Arabidopsis thaliana: one gene and its partners. The protein of the gene in region 2 interacts with the protein of the main gene of each other region in a pairwise test. Each region holds a gene or a part of one and is shown on either strand. Other genes may lie near its edges.

Region 1 (5,964 bases), on a different chromosome or scaffold from region 2:
CTACATATAATATTTAAACGTGACATGTTCATCTTTTTTCGTCGTCGATCGACATATCAACTATAAGATTAGTCGGTTGTACGTATAAATCTTGACCTTTTACCATGGATTTGTCCTATAAAAGCTTACTAGAGACTAGAGACCAGAACGCATTAATATTATTAGGTCTATCTTCTATCACTTCATAGTGTTTCTTTAACACTCATGTTTTGCAAGTGTCGTTTTGTACTATTGGAAAAGATTATTGTTATAAAAAAAAAAATGAAACAAAACTCTAAAAAATCAGTTAATCTTAGTTATAAAACATTATCCTGCTAGAAATCATTGCAACTTTAATAAAGTATTGAGTCTTGAATCGTTATGTCCACTTCGTTTATTTTATATAAAAGTTTGTCAACTAATTAATAGCTGATTTTTTTTTTCTTTTAAGAGAAAGAAGATCTCGAAATGAGAATTAAAGATAAGATATATGGTTAGGTAGCGAGTAGAAGACCAAAGCAAGAAACTACGACCACGACATCTTGCACATAAGAAAAAAAAAAAGTAGTTCAATTTCATTTTCGCTTTGGTCCACTTTATTATTTAACAAAAAATAATATCTAATAAATTACATTAATATAACAGTCCGTGTTAGACTAAGACACGAAGCCTCCCCCACTAAATCGACGCAAATAAAAATAAACAAATGGTGGGGTTAAGAGTTTAATTCGAGCTGTGGAATTTTTTTATAAATATACAAAAATAATAATATTTAAAATAATATATATTACGATAACAAATTTTTATGTCAATCAATTATATTTTAAGAATCTTCTAAAATCAAATATTATTGAACTAATAATTTGAATAATAATTTTAATTCCACTATTATTGAAAATATTCATATCATTAGTTTTTAAGGGTGTATAGTGAAAAAATTCCTCAATTTCAAATATGTTAATACAAATTTCCCTTTTTAAAAATTATCATGAAATTGGACAAACTATATTTATATTGAAAAAGATATATAAACTTATACAACACAAATTGTAAACAAAAATAACATGATGTTCTTCAATAAAATTATAAATCATCAAACCTAAACTCTAAAATTGTCAAAGTAAAAAACCTAAATTGACGAATTCTAATTTATTATAGCGAAATTCTCTGATGTTTGTATGATGTCGAAGTTGATTATGAGAGATTTTGTAAAATTTTGTGTTTTAATTTTAACCATAGTTTATCTAATTTTTACGACAATGTAGAAAGACAGGATTAAGATATTTGAAAAATTGAAGTTTTTTTTTATAAAATATATAATTGAATAATTTCTTATAGAATTTTAGAAAAAAATTTTAGATAAAATTAAAAAACACAAATGTAATTCTTTTATGTAGAATTTGGGGAACCAGACTACAACAAATCATAAATTTCTCTAAATTTACCTAAAATCATATTAAAAATTAATAAATCATTATGAATCTTAAATTACTTAAAATATAAATTTGAAAATACTCCTCTAACTCAGAGATCAATTTTTTCTAATGCCTCGTGATTTTTTTGCATCTTGTAGCTTAGTCACCTATATATATTTTTAGTGGTAACAAGATTCTCTGTTAAAAAAATAATAAAAATTAAAAATAATAATAGTTTATTTTATGGGAAAAGACGCGAGTGGCTCCCACCAGCCTCAACTTTGCCCACGTGGAACCAGCCATATGCGCGGCGTTTAGACAACAAAAAAAAAGCGTGTTGTTTCTTTCTCTCTCTAGAAAGTCAAAAAAAGGAGACAGACAACCAAACACTGCCTTGTCACATCTCTCTCTCTCTTGCTTTTGGCGAGTAACGAGTAAGTCCATTTTCCATGTGCCCACTGTGTCTTCTCTCCTTACACGCCACCATCTCCTCCACCTCCTCCTCCCTCCCTTCTCCAATTCCCAATTCTCCTCCAAACCCTAGGGTTAGGGTTTCCACGATTGCTTCACCTTCCCTTCTTTTTTTAAAACCTCAGATCTTCCGCTTCCTCGTTCTTGTCTTTTTGTTGAGCTGAGAAGCAAAAAAAAAGTGTTCTTTGGCTTCACGAGGAGCCAACAACGAATCGATGCCGGAAATCGATCTTATGAGAGTCGATCATTGTGTTTCCGATGTTAAATTAGATGATTCTTCTTCTTCTCCTCCGGGATTCTTCGATGGTGGTGGTGTTCCGTTAGATTCGGATGTGAAGTTAGACGAAGAAGATTCCGATTCTTTGAAGAAGAGAGGTAGACGTGGTCGTCCGCCGAGAATTTTAGCTAAAGCTTCTTCGCCTCCGATTTCGAGGAAGAGAAGAGAAGATGAAGATGTTTGCTTTGTTTGCTTCGATGGTGGTAGTCTTGTTCTCTGCGATCGTAGGTTAGTGAAGTTTTGAGCTTAGACAAGTTACTCTCCCAGCTCCATTACATTCCTACTTGTAAAAATAGAAACTTTTACTTGTGACTGATGATGATTCTTTCTTAATTTGTCAGGGGATGTCCAAAGGCTTATCACCCAGCTTGTGTTAAGCGTACTGAAGCATTCTTCAGATCGAGATCTAAATGGAATTGTGGTAAGTTGTTCAATTTTTATCTGTTTTCTCTTCTTTGAGATGGTTCATAGTGATGAGGATGGTTTTTTGGTTTCAGGTTGGCACATATGTACTACTTGTCAAAAGGATTCGTTCTACATGTGTTATACTTGTCCGTATTCAGTTTGTAAGAGGTGTGTTAGAAGCTCAGAGTATGTAGTTGTAAGGGAGAACAAAGGATTCTGTGGAATTTGTATGAAGACTATAATGCTTATTGAGAATGCAGCTGAAGCTAACAAAGAAAAGGTATGAGAATCCTGTCTACATTTTGTTACTTTCTCTTACTCGCAGTACTACAAGGTTATTTGTGGAACTTGAGGTCTGTTCTTGTAATGTCGCTTTGTTTTTTTAATGTGGATTCTTTCTTCTAGCTAAATGTATTACATGTACATTTTCTAGGTTCAGGTTGATTTTGATGATCAAGGCAGCTGGGAGTATCTTTTTAAGATTTACTGGGTTTCTCTTAAAGAAAAGCTAGGTTTATCGTTAGATGATCTTACCAAAGCAAAAAATCCATGGAAATCTTCTTCTTCTACTGCCGCTAAGCGAAGAACTACTAGTCGGGTTCATGAAAAGGATGATGGAAATTCTCCTGGGGTTATGAAAATACGTCGTGCTAAAGTAAGGAAAATGGATGCTGTTTCTGTGAGTAATTTGGGTCCTTCTTTGGATTCAAACTGTTCTTTGGGTGACAGACTTCCACAATTGACTAGTGCTGCTACTTGGGCAACCAATGAGCTTTTGGACTTTGTGGGGTATATGAAAAACGGTGATATTTCTGTCTTATCAAAGTATGATGTCCAAACTCTCGTGCTAGAGTATGTGAGACGGAATAATCTACAAAACTCTCCTCAGAATTCTGAAATAATGTGTGACTCCAAGCTTATGAGATTGTTTGGAAAGGAGCGAGTGGACAACTTGGAAATGTTAAAGCTTCTTGATTCTCACTTCATCGATCAAGTTAGGTCTCCAGTCACAGATAATTCAGCCGGAGGAGTCACTGAAACTATGTCTTACCAGGTTAATGCGGGCAGAAGCTGTGATAGGTTAAATACATCTGAACAGCATCAAGAAGGGGAATCACAGCAATTGAACGGGCACAGTATTCAAGTTAGACCTTCCAGTTCTGATAGCAGAAACCATGCAGTTGTAAAACCTGACACAAGTGCCACTCTGTCCAATAAGCCAATTGATGGTTTGGATACAAATATGGTATGGTTATATGGAGATCCAGATGGGAAGATTCATGGACCATTTTCGTTATATAACCTGCGACAATGGAATTCAAGCGGGCATTTCCCACCAGAGCTGAGAATATGGAGGTTGGGTGAACAGCAACACAGCTCCATACTTTTGACTGACGCATTAAATGGGCAGTTCCATAAAACAGGGTTATTACAGAATCATTCTATCCCCAAGCAGGAAGTGACAGCTACTATAGCTAACGATCAAAACAGGTCTGTGGCTGTTCCTAAAATAGAGAGTAGAATACTTGACTTCAGCCCCAACTCAGTGTGCACTGACCAGAGTGTTATTTCTAGCAGTAACAGTGTCATCACAAGGAGCTCGGATGTGAGTAACAAAAGCGGAAACAATTGTAGCCACGCCGTGCCATTGGATTTTTCTCTTTCTAATGAAAGGGATACTGTGGGTTTTATCTCTCTCTGGGACAAAAGAAAAGTTGAAAGTTCTTTGCTTGTACAAAGCCCAATAAGCTGTTCACTCTCGCTGGCTACATTACCTAGAAACTCAAACTGCTCTCTGCCACCACATGAAAGATGGAGTGCTGGTCAGACAGATGGAAACAGTGCAGCAACGACTGCTTGCAATCAAAACGGTAGTCTTAGCGGCTCAGCTGAGAAACAAGTCACGGCTACAGTCCAGTCATGTGGACAGAACTGGAATGCTGCAACTCCAAGCAGTGCTTCAAATGTGTGGGATTCGAACTCGGGTTTGACGTCTTTCCCAGACAATCAAGAAATAGACTTTTTAGATCTCTTTAGTCCAACTTTCAAATTCAACTTTGCATCTACTACCACTGATTGGCAACCCATTGTGGCTGGACCTGACGAATGCGACGAATCAGTCTCAGATCTTTTGGCAGAAGTGGAAGCCATGGAGTCCCAAAAACGTCTTCCTTCTCCAACTTCGACATTCCGTGGTCCTGAAGAATTATTAATCCGGCACTCAATAAACGATAGCTTCAGTCCCGCAGAAGGACATAGCCCAGCACTAGATGTAAGCAAAGGTGACTCCATGAGCTCCACAAACGATCTTCAAATGCATTCACGATCTAACAGCACCGTGCATTTTTAGTCGTGGGCTCGGGTTCACATAGAGAGAAATCATAACCTGGGGCACAGGTTACCATAGATCATCCAATGTCCTAGATTCGTCTGATCGATGGTGGACTATGCCCTCTTTCTTCTCTTTTTTTTTGCAGGATTATTACAGAACATAAATAAATGGCAGAATCATCAGCAAAAATGAAAAAAAACGAGTGGTGCATATGTAGAAGATGTTTCTTCGCGGTATTTTTGACTGCACCCATTGTTTTCTTCAGTATTTAGGTTTTGTAACGTTGTCCTGTGTTAAGATTTGCACAGACATACCCAACTTCTGTATCTTTTTTTTTTACATTGTTTGTACTTAGGAACAAGTATAAAAATGGGAAGAAATTGTTGTCCATGGATGTAATCAAAACATTTGTAGGGATCATATCATCTTATTATTCTATATATATGATAATGATAGTGTAACGTTTCATTCTTTTTGTTTTGAATGTTTCAAATCTATTTATATCATGACAAGTGTAGGCTCCAGTTTATTCTACTTGTTTTTGGAAAATGAGACGAACTCTATTGATCGTTTCTGGATTTGGAAACTTTTTGTTGTTTCTTCGATTTCGTTTTTGTTGATCTGAGTTGATGGTGGAAGCTACGTCAAATTTGACGCCGTCGCAGAGATACGCGGCAAGCGCTTTGTTTGCAATCGCGCTTAACCAAGCGCAGATCAGCCAGTCAAAGCCATTGGGAATCCCGGCCACCGGAAGTACCGGAGAGCCAATCAGCAGCGACAGTGATCCTATCTCCGATGAGGCGGATCTCTGGGTCCACGAAGTTTCCGGCCTCCTCCGTCCTGTTCTCAGGTGATCTTGAAATCATCTGGAATAGTCATGTTCATATGCGTCTCTGTGTGTGTAATGTATACATTTTGAGCTGTCTCTGTAATTTGCTTTCAGATGTCTTCAGATTGATTCATCAGCTTGGCATGGCCTTGAAGAGATAGCTGCTTCTACTCAGGCTAAGGATCACATCGGTGCGGTATGATTAATTTCTCTCCGTATTTTGAAATTTCGTTGTGAATGTTGAGGAGCTCTTCTT
Region 2 (3,573 bases):
AATCTTAGAAGTCTAAAATACCACTATATATGGACACTTTCTCGAGAAAGTATTTTAGAAGTCATTATTTTTTGATTTTTTGTTTTAAACTTCTAAATGGACATCTTTCACATTTAAACAAACAAGAAATTTATATATTTCACGATAATAATTAATTCTAATTTTATATATAGATATGCAGCATTTCTAATATATATATATATATATATATATAGAGAGAGAGAGAGAGTCATTAGTTTTTCGATTTTTTGTTCTAAACTTCTAATTATGTGAAAATAGAAAATGATAATTTCACAATAGTAACCGAAAGAAAAATTTGGTATATTGGAGCAAAGGTCAAGTAAAGAGGAAAATAGAAAATTAATGGTTGCTAGATATATAAAGCTTAAATATATAATGTATTTCGATAAAACTATCTTATAAGTATTATAAAACAGATTAATGAAACCACTTACAATCTTTAGAAATAATGGACGACATAAGATTTCTCAAATATATTTAAAAAATCTCTTCCTAATAGGTAGAAACAATTTGTTTCACTGAAAAAAAAAACTCCCCTTAGTTTTTTTTTTGATCATCTTCGTATTTAAGCTTAAATAGAATCATCTCAGATTAAATTATTTACAGACTTACAATTTGAAAAATTATAAAATGTTGAATGTAACTTGAATATTTTGTGGGAATACGTCAGCATTCATGAATGTATCTTGGATATATTTTACCATATAGTTCAGTAGTCTCATTTAAGAAAAAAAATAACACTTAAGCTATTCAAGCTTTCTTTTTATGAATATATATATCTGAAAATATCTATATATATATAAGGAAAACAATTGTTATTCTTTACAGTTCATAGACCATTTTTTGTCATTCTATTTCTTTTTTGGGTATTTTTCTCCCAATCAAAACAAAGAAAGTAAAAAATTTGATTACTACGGAAAAACTAATTAAAGAAATCTCGTATTTTTATTTCTAGTTTTTAGTAATGAGAAAAAACAACTGTAGTCAATCACAAGCTGTCTAAGTTAAATGTTTATAAAACACCTTCCAAAGTAATATTTCCATATAGTAGAAATATAGAATGCAATTCCTTTGTATTTGCAATGACTAATTATTTTCTATAAAAATAGTGAAGAATAACATCATCCTTCCATAGTAGTTAAAGATGCTACTTTGACTACAGTTGGTTTATTAATTATTATTTATTTTAATTATTATATATTTTTACACAAAAAGAAAATAAAAGATTTCATAGAAAATTTAGTAGTTTGTAACAGTAGTTCAAACGAGTTTTGTGCACTATTTCTTGTAACACTAAAATATCAATTTCTTTAACAAGATGGTTAGAAAAATAGACTATTAAAGTACTGTTCGGTAGTAATTTTTGTAATTGCAAGGACATGTAAAAACGTCATAGTAATATCAATTATATTATAGAAATATAACCAAAATAATAAACTATGTTGGTACAAATTTCACATTTTTACTATTTTGGATTATTAAATATATAAAAATTTAAAAATATGAATTTAATTTGATATACAGAACATAAAAAAAAAACTGAAATGCAATATATTCGTATGTATAAACAAAACATAAAAATTAAAATGAAATGCAATATATTCGAGTATATAAAAAAATACCTAGTTATATAATATTATAAGTTACATATTCCACATAAAGTGTTATATTGAGAGTCAGAAAAAAATAAAGAATTGTTACAGAAACAACCATAAACTTCAAAACTATGGATTCATAGTAGTTGTACATTTATTACTTAATTACATAAAATTCACACAAGCATATCATTTTGCAAGTCAAGTAAAATCAACATAGTTAAAGAAACAGCCAGATATGAACTCATAGTAGTTGTGATTTTAATTAATTAAACCCTTGGAGATTTTATACCATAATAGTTAACGAACATTAAGGTTACCTTCTCAATAAATAGCATCCTCATTTCTCCGAATCTATCACAAAGAGATAAAGATCACTTAACAAAGAAAAAAAAGATTTGTTACAGAGAACCAGCTATGTCTTCTTCAATGTCTTCTGCAGGCTCTTCCACACCCAAATCCAAAAAGCTCAAAGGCATTGTTGTGGACATGGAGAAGTCGAAAGAGAAGGCAACAAGGAACACTATTCTGAAACTAGGTTCTCCTCAAGAGGTTACCTCTGAAAGGAGGATTGAGAACTCTAGTTTTGGATCTAGTGCTGTCCGAAGAGGAAGAGAGATCATGAAGTTTTACCCGTCAAAATCAAACAAGATCTACACTTGTCATTTTTGCAAAAAAGGTTTCTCAACCTCTCAAGCCTTAGGTGGTCACCAGAACGCGCACAAGCAAGAGCGGGAGTGGGACAAAAAGCGGAAGGAGATGGAAGCTGAGTATCCTGGACTCTCCTTTTTGAACCCTTTCCTTGATAAGCCTCACATTCTCTTAGGTGGTTATTCACAAGATGCTTTATCAAATGAAAATCATCTTGGGATCACTCTTGATCCTTTTAAACGCTTAATTTACCCATCTTTCAATGCGGGTATGAACATGGCTGTAGTTCCTCGTGTCACTCCTACTCGCTTCTTCACCGGGAACACTAGTACCAATGGTTCTACTTCAAGGGTCCCTGATCCTTTACCATCCTACAACAACCTTTACCCATCAAACTCTAGAAACGTTCTTCCTTTTCCTCCTCCTCAAACCACCAAGCTTTCTAGCAATTTCGTCTCGCAAGGAAACGTTTTAAGCGAAGAGAATTTCATCTCAAAGATTGGAACAAACAATATTGTGGAGATTGATGATGATGATGATGATATTCAGCCAGAAGAAGAAAAAACTAAAAGCGGGAGAATTGATTTATCTTTATCCCTTTGAGTATCTTTTTTTAGTTCTAAGCGTTATTTAAGTTTTCATTTCAGAGGTTTCATAGTTATTAGAGATCTCTATTCACCACAGTTCTATATGAAGATTGTTTTGTCCTTTTTAAGTTATTGAATTTCATTTTGAATGTTCATTTGTTTTTGTCATCTCCTCTTCTATTCACATGTAATTGTGTTTTAGTTATTTCCCCAAAACACAAAATTCTTACTCCGATGTCTACATTAAAACCTCCATTTATTAGTAATGTCGGAACCCTGAAATTCTATTAATTTATAAAGGTATTAATCTTTTTGATAAACTTTATATAGGTGTTTATTTTCATATTTTTTGAACATTCCTATTTATAATTAAGAAGTTTTTGTTATAACCAATTTTAGAGTTTAGAAAGAATCCTTGCTACTGTCCTTAATTGTGATAATGCAGTCGAAGACAATATTACATTACCTTTAAAATTAAACATTTACACGTAAAAATAGTTATTGCGTCTAAAAAATCTTTCACAATTTTTGTATGCAATTCGAATAGATATCACCATAGTTTTTGATATATAATAAGAAAGACTGAAGAGGAGATCCAATAAGAATGGAAATTCATGAATAAGTCAACAAAACTAGAGTCATATATATATATATATAATTATTAGTTTACAATATTGGTTAGACGATATATTTACAATTTTTTTTTATATAATTATAAT
Region 3 (3,257 bases), on a different chromosome or scaffold from region 2:
CTTTCTACTCAGCGATGGATCTTATAGAGCATCTTCGTGCGATGGGTGAAACCAATGCTCTTCTCGAGAGAAACAAGATTTTGAATCGTGAAACTGCTGTTGCCACGGCAGCCATATATGACTCCATGTTTGCCACAGAGGACGGCACTATACCCGCTACTTTTCAGGTCTGTCCATAATAGTTCAGAACTAACTCAACAGTGAAAAAAACCCATAACCTAGCTTCATTATTCAAGTTGTTTTGCTACAATCCATGATTAAAACAATTTTATGCTAAATACTACAAGTGAAATTAACAACATTTGAGGCCTAAAGTATATATCGTTTGGCATTCTTGTGTAGGTGATTTACATGACAGGATGGAGAGAACATTCGTCTCACCCGCAGGCCAAACGAAGAGGTTCAGCCACCGTATCCTTCACGGATCTCCAAAAGCAATTTGGCGGACAATCTTGATGGAATGATTGAAGAAGAGAAACATTCAATAAGCAGAGACTTTACAAATGACACTTGAGAGAGAAATCAGTGACTTAAGCTATAAGGTACTTGGAGGAACTCTTGTAGATTTGTCGGAGTCTTTCACTGGGCGAAAGCATCACAATTAGGACGCCTGCTTTCGCCCATGTATTTCGTATCGAATAATAGCTGATCAGAAACATATTTGTATTTTACAAAAATATTACGAATACTTAAAAATCTCAATCTTCAATCACGAAACATGATCTCGCGCTAGGTTTCTTGAATAGATTTGTATACAATGGACCAAACTTCACTAAATCAGTGAAACAAACATTAATCAAAACCTTATAATGTATATTCACAACCATTTGATTGTTTCTCTGTGGTACCTAATCTTGTTTTGAGTAAGATTTTAGCACCACACCTGTTTTGATTATGGTACAAAATCTTACTCAAAAGAAGATCAAACGTGATCATGACCGTCGAGATAAATCAAACGTGATCGTGGCCGCCCAGATAATCATACACTGAAATATTCAACGGCTCCACTTGATCAGCTCCATTCTCGTAATACGTCGTCGTATCTCCGCATCCAGAGTTCACGCTGGTACTGTGGACGATTCCGGCGTCAATGGCCATGCCGGCGTTAGAAGCAGCTTGCTGGATAGATCTCGGAGAAGTTCTGGAAACGAGTGAAGGATTAAGCAAATGAGGGAAATTGAGAGATTCTAAAGAATCAGGTTGGTGTAAACAGAAGAAAGCAACGTCGTGTGCTACGGCGGCACCTTCTGCTGTTGAGAATGAACCTAACCAGAGACGGTCACGAGTTCCCGGAACTCTAATCTCTGATACCCATTTGCCCCATTTCCGACGACGGATTCCTTTGTACTTTGACTGACTTTCACCGGTGGATTCTCTGTAATCCATTTTTTGTTGTTGTATGATGATCGATGTGAAGAAGAAGAAGAAGAAGAAGAGACTTTTGAGTGTTGTTTATGTTTGAATATGAAGATACAAAGACTATTTATACGTTGAAGTTTAGTGAAAGTCAAAATATTATATAATATTTTTTAATATGAATCAAGAATGAGAATGAAGTTGACCAATTATAAAACTAGTTAATTCTCGAGGAAAAAATCAACTGGTCAAAGTATGACCCATTTTTTTAGTGGTACCAATTTGACATGTGCCTGACTAGTCGATTTTTTTTTCTTTCAAGTTGTAACTTTTTTTTTTGCTGTGTCTAACAGTAAATTCAATGTATTTAGAAAGTAAGAGTCATTTCTATAAAACAAGTGGTATATATACCGTTCTGTTTGGTTTCAAAATAAATGATATTTTTTGTTTTTTTAAAATAGAAAATTAATCTTTATTTTTTGTTGTTGTTGCTTTGGTATATCATAGTTAGGTTACCTTAATTTATAGGTTTTTCATTTTTTTTTATATGAAAAAGTCTTAAGTCGAAATCTAGAATTTTATACTACTATATATCCTCTATTTCGTTTCATAAAAATCTGTAAAATAGGTGATGACATAATAGTATAGAGAAAAGCAGTGAAAAACACAAAAGTCGATTCAAACTCCACCGATGAAGAATGTGAAAACGTCGTCGTCGATGGTTAAACCACGTGGGATAAAGAAAGACTTTCTTTGCCTTTTTTGGTTACAAATTGCGTCATGCGTGACATGAGCACCGTCTAAAGGGGGTCCTTTATTTTTGGCATTTGACCAAAGATCTGTAATGACTTAATGATTCTCCACGGACAACACACAGACACAACAGCCCAAACTAACTGGAAAAAGTTATTTTTTGTCTTCTTCTGTGTCTGCTGACTCATGTACATGGTTGTCAAATTTTAGTTCACACACAACCACATCCAAAACACGAATCATCCACGGAGAAACCCAGTCTCATAATGTATTTAATGTGTTTTCATCCTTCGGATGCATAACCAATTCTTTGTAGTTGATACTTGATTAGGTTTTTCTCGACACTGACATTTGGGAGTTGATTGTGATGTGATACACCGTCTTATCATAGTCACCGACTCATTTAGAAGAAACCTCAAAGGTAACTTGGTAAGTTACGATTAGAGATGTTTTTAGAAACGTCTAGCAGATTATTGATATCTGACAATAAATATTCACACCTACTCGGTTGGTCTATGCGATTTTAGACAATTTAAATGTTTATAAAAACCCTAGTGTATCAGTATATATAAAATCAATATTAATGAAATAATGCAATTAATAAATTACTTATTATAAGTTCTTATAAAAAAAATACTAGTGACCTCATTTTGTAATATCAAAAACTGGTGCCAACTTCATCTAACACGATTTATTTAACCTTGGTAATATTTTGAAAAAACCATAAATTTATAAAGTTGTTACAGTCAGATTTTAGTGGGCTAAAATGGGTTACAATTGCAATGGGTCTGGAAGTGGACAAATCTAAACAAGCGGCCCAAATCATCTGAGCACATGCCAGAACATTGAATAAATGTCAAAAAGGAGTCTCTTTCTACATAACCTTCACGCGCGGCTACTCCTACTTTCGCTTCGTCCGGTTCCGTCGATACTGTCTCCGAATCACTGTCTTCTTTCCTTTTTCTTCCTACATGACATCTGTCTTATCTCTTTTATGTTTCTCTAGATGTACTTATACTTCCATGTTTCGTCTGTATACGGTATGTTTCGCTCACCACATGTTCGATGAAATTCCTCAACGAAACTTTTTTTTTATCTTTCTCACCTTTCTTCCTTTGACTTTCAGACGGAGAAGCAAAATTGCTTGA

What was found.
Region 1: the proteins of AT5G27880 (region 2) and AT2G18090 interact in a two-hybrid assay, tested with the Arabidopsis thaliana proteins (one large-scale study listed by BioGRID).
Region 3: the proteins of AT5G27880 (region 2) and AT1G22810 interact in a two-hybrid assay, tested with the Arabidopsis thaliana proteins (one large-scale study listed by BioGRID).

Annotation. Positions count from the first base shown.
Region 1 is NC_003071.7:7,862,421-7,868,384, forward strand, and holds AT2G18090 (PHD finger family protein / SWIB complex BAF60b domain-containing protein / GYF domain-containing protein), read left to right. Parts: upstream 1-1,773; 5' UTR 1,774-2,080; coding exon 2,081-2,370; intron 2,371-2,483; coding exon 2,484-2,563; intron 2,564-2,639; coding exon 2,640-2,827; intron 2,828-2,980; coding exon 2,981-4,897; 3' UTR 4,898-5,400; downstream 5,401-5,964. Other genes in the region: AT2G18100 (transmembrane/coiled-coil protein (DUF726)), read left to right, coding at 5,509-5,729, 5,823-5,904.
Region 2 is NC_003076.8:9,883,875-9,887,447, forward strand, and holds AT5G27880 (C2H2 and C2HC zinc fingers superfamily protein), read left to right. Parts: upstream 1-1,998; 5' UTR 1,999-2,033; coding exon 2,034-2,870; 3' UTR 2,871-2,968; downstream 2,969-3,573.
Region 3 is NC_003070.9:8,073,584-8,076,840, forward strand, and holds AT1G22810 (Integrase-type DNA-binding superfamily protein), read right to left. Parts: upstream 1,455-3,257; 5' UTR 1,387-1,454; coding exon 952-1,386; 3' UTR 648-951; downstream 1-647. Other genes in the region: AT1G22800 (S-adenosyl-L-methionine-dependent methyltransferases superfamily protein), read left to right, coding at 13-167, 343-456.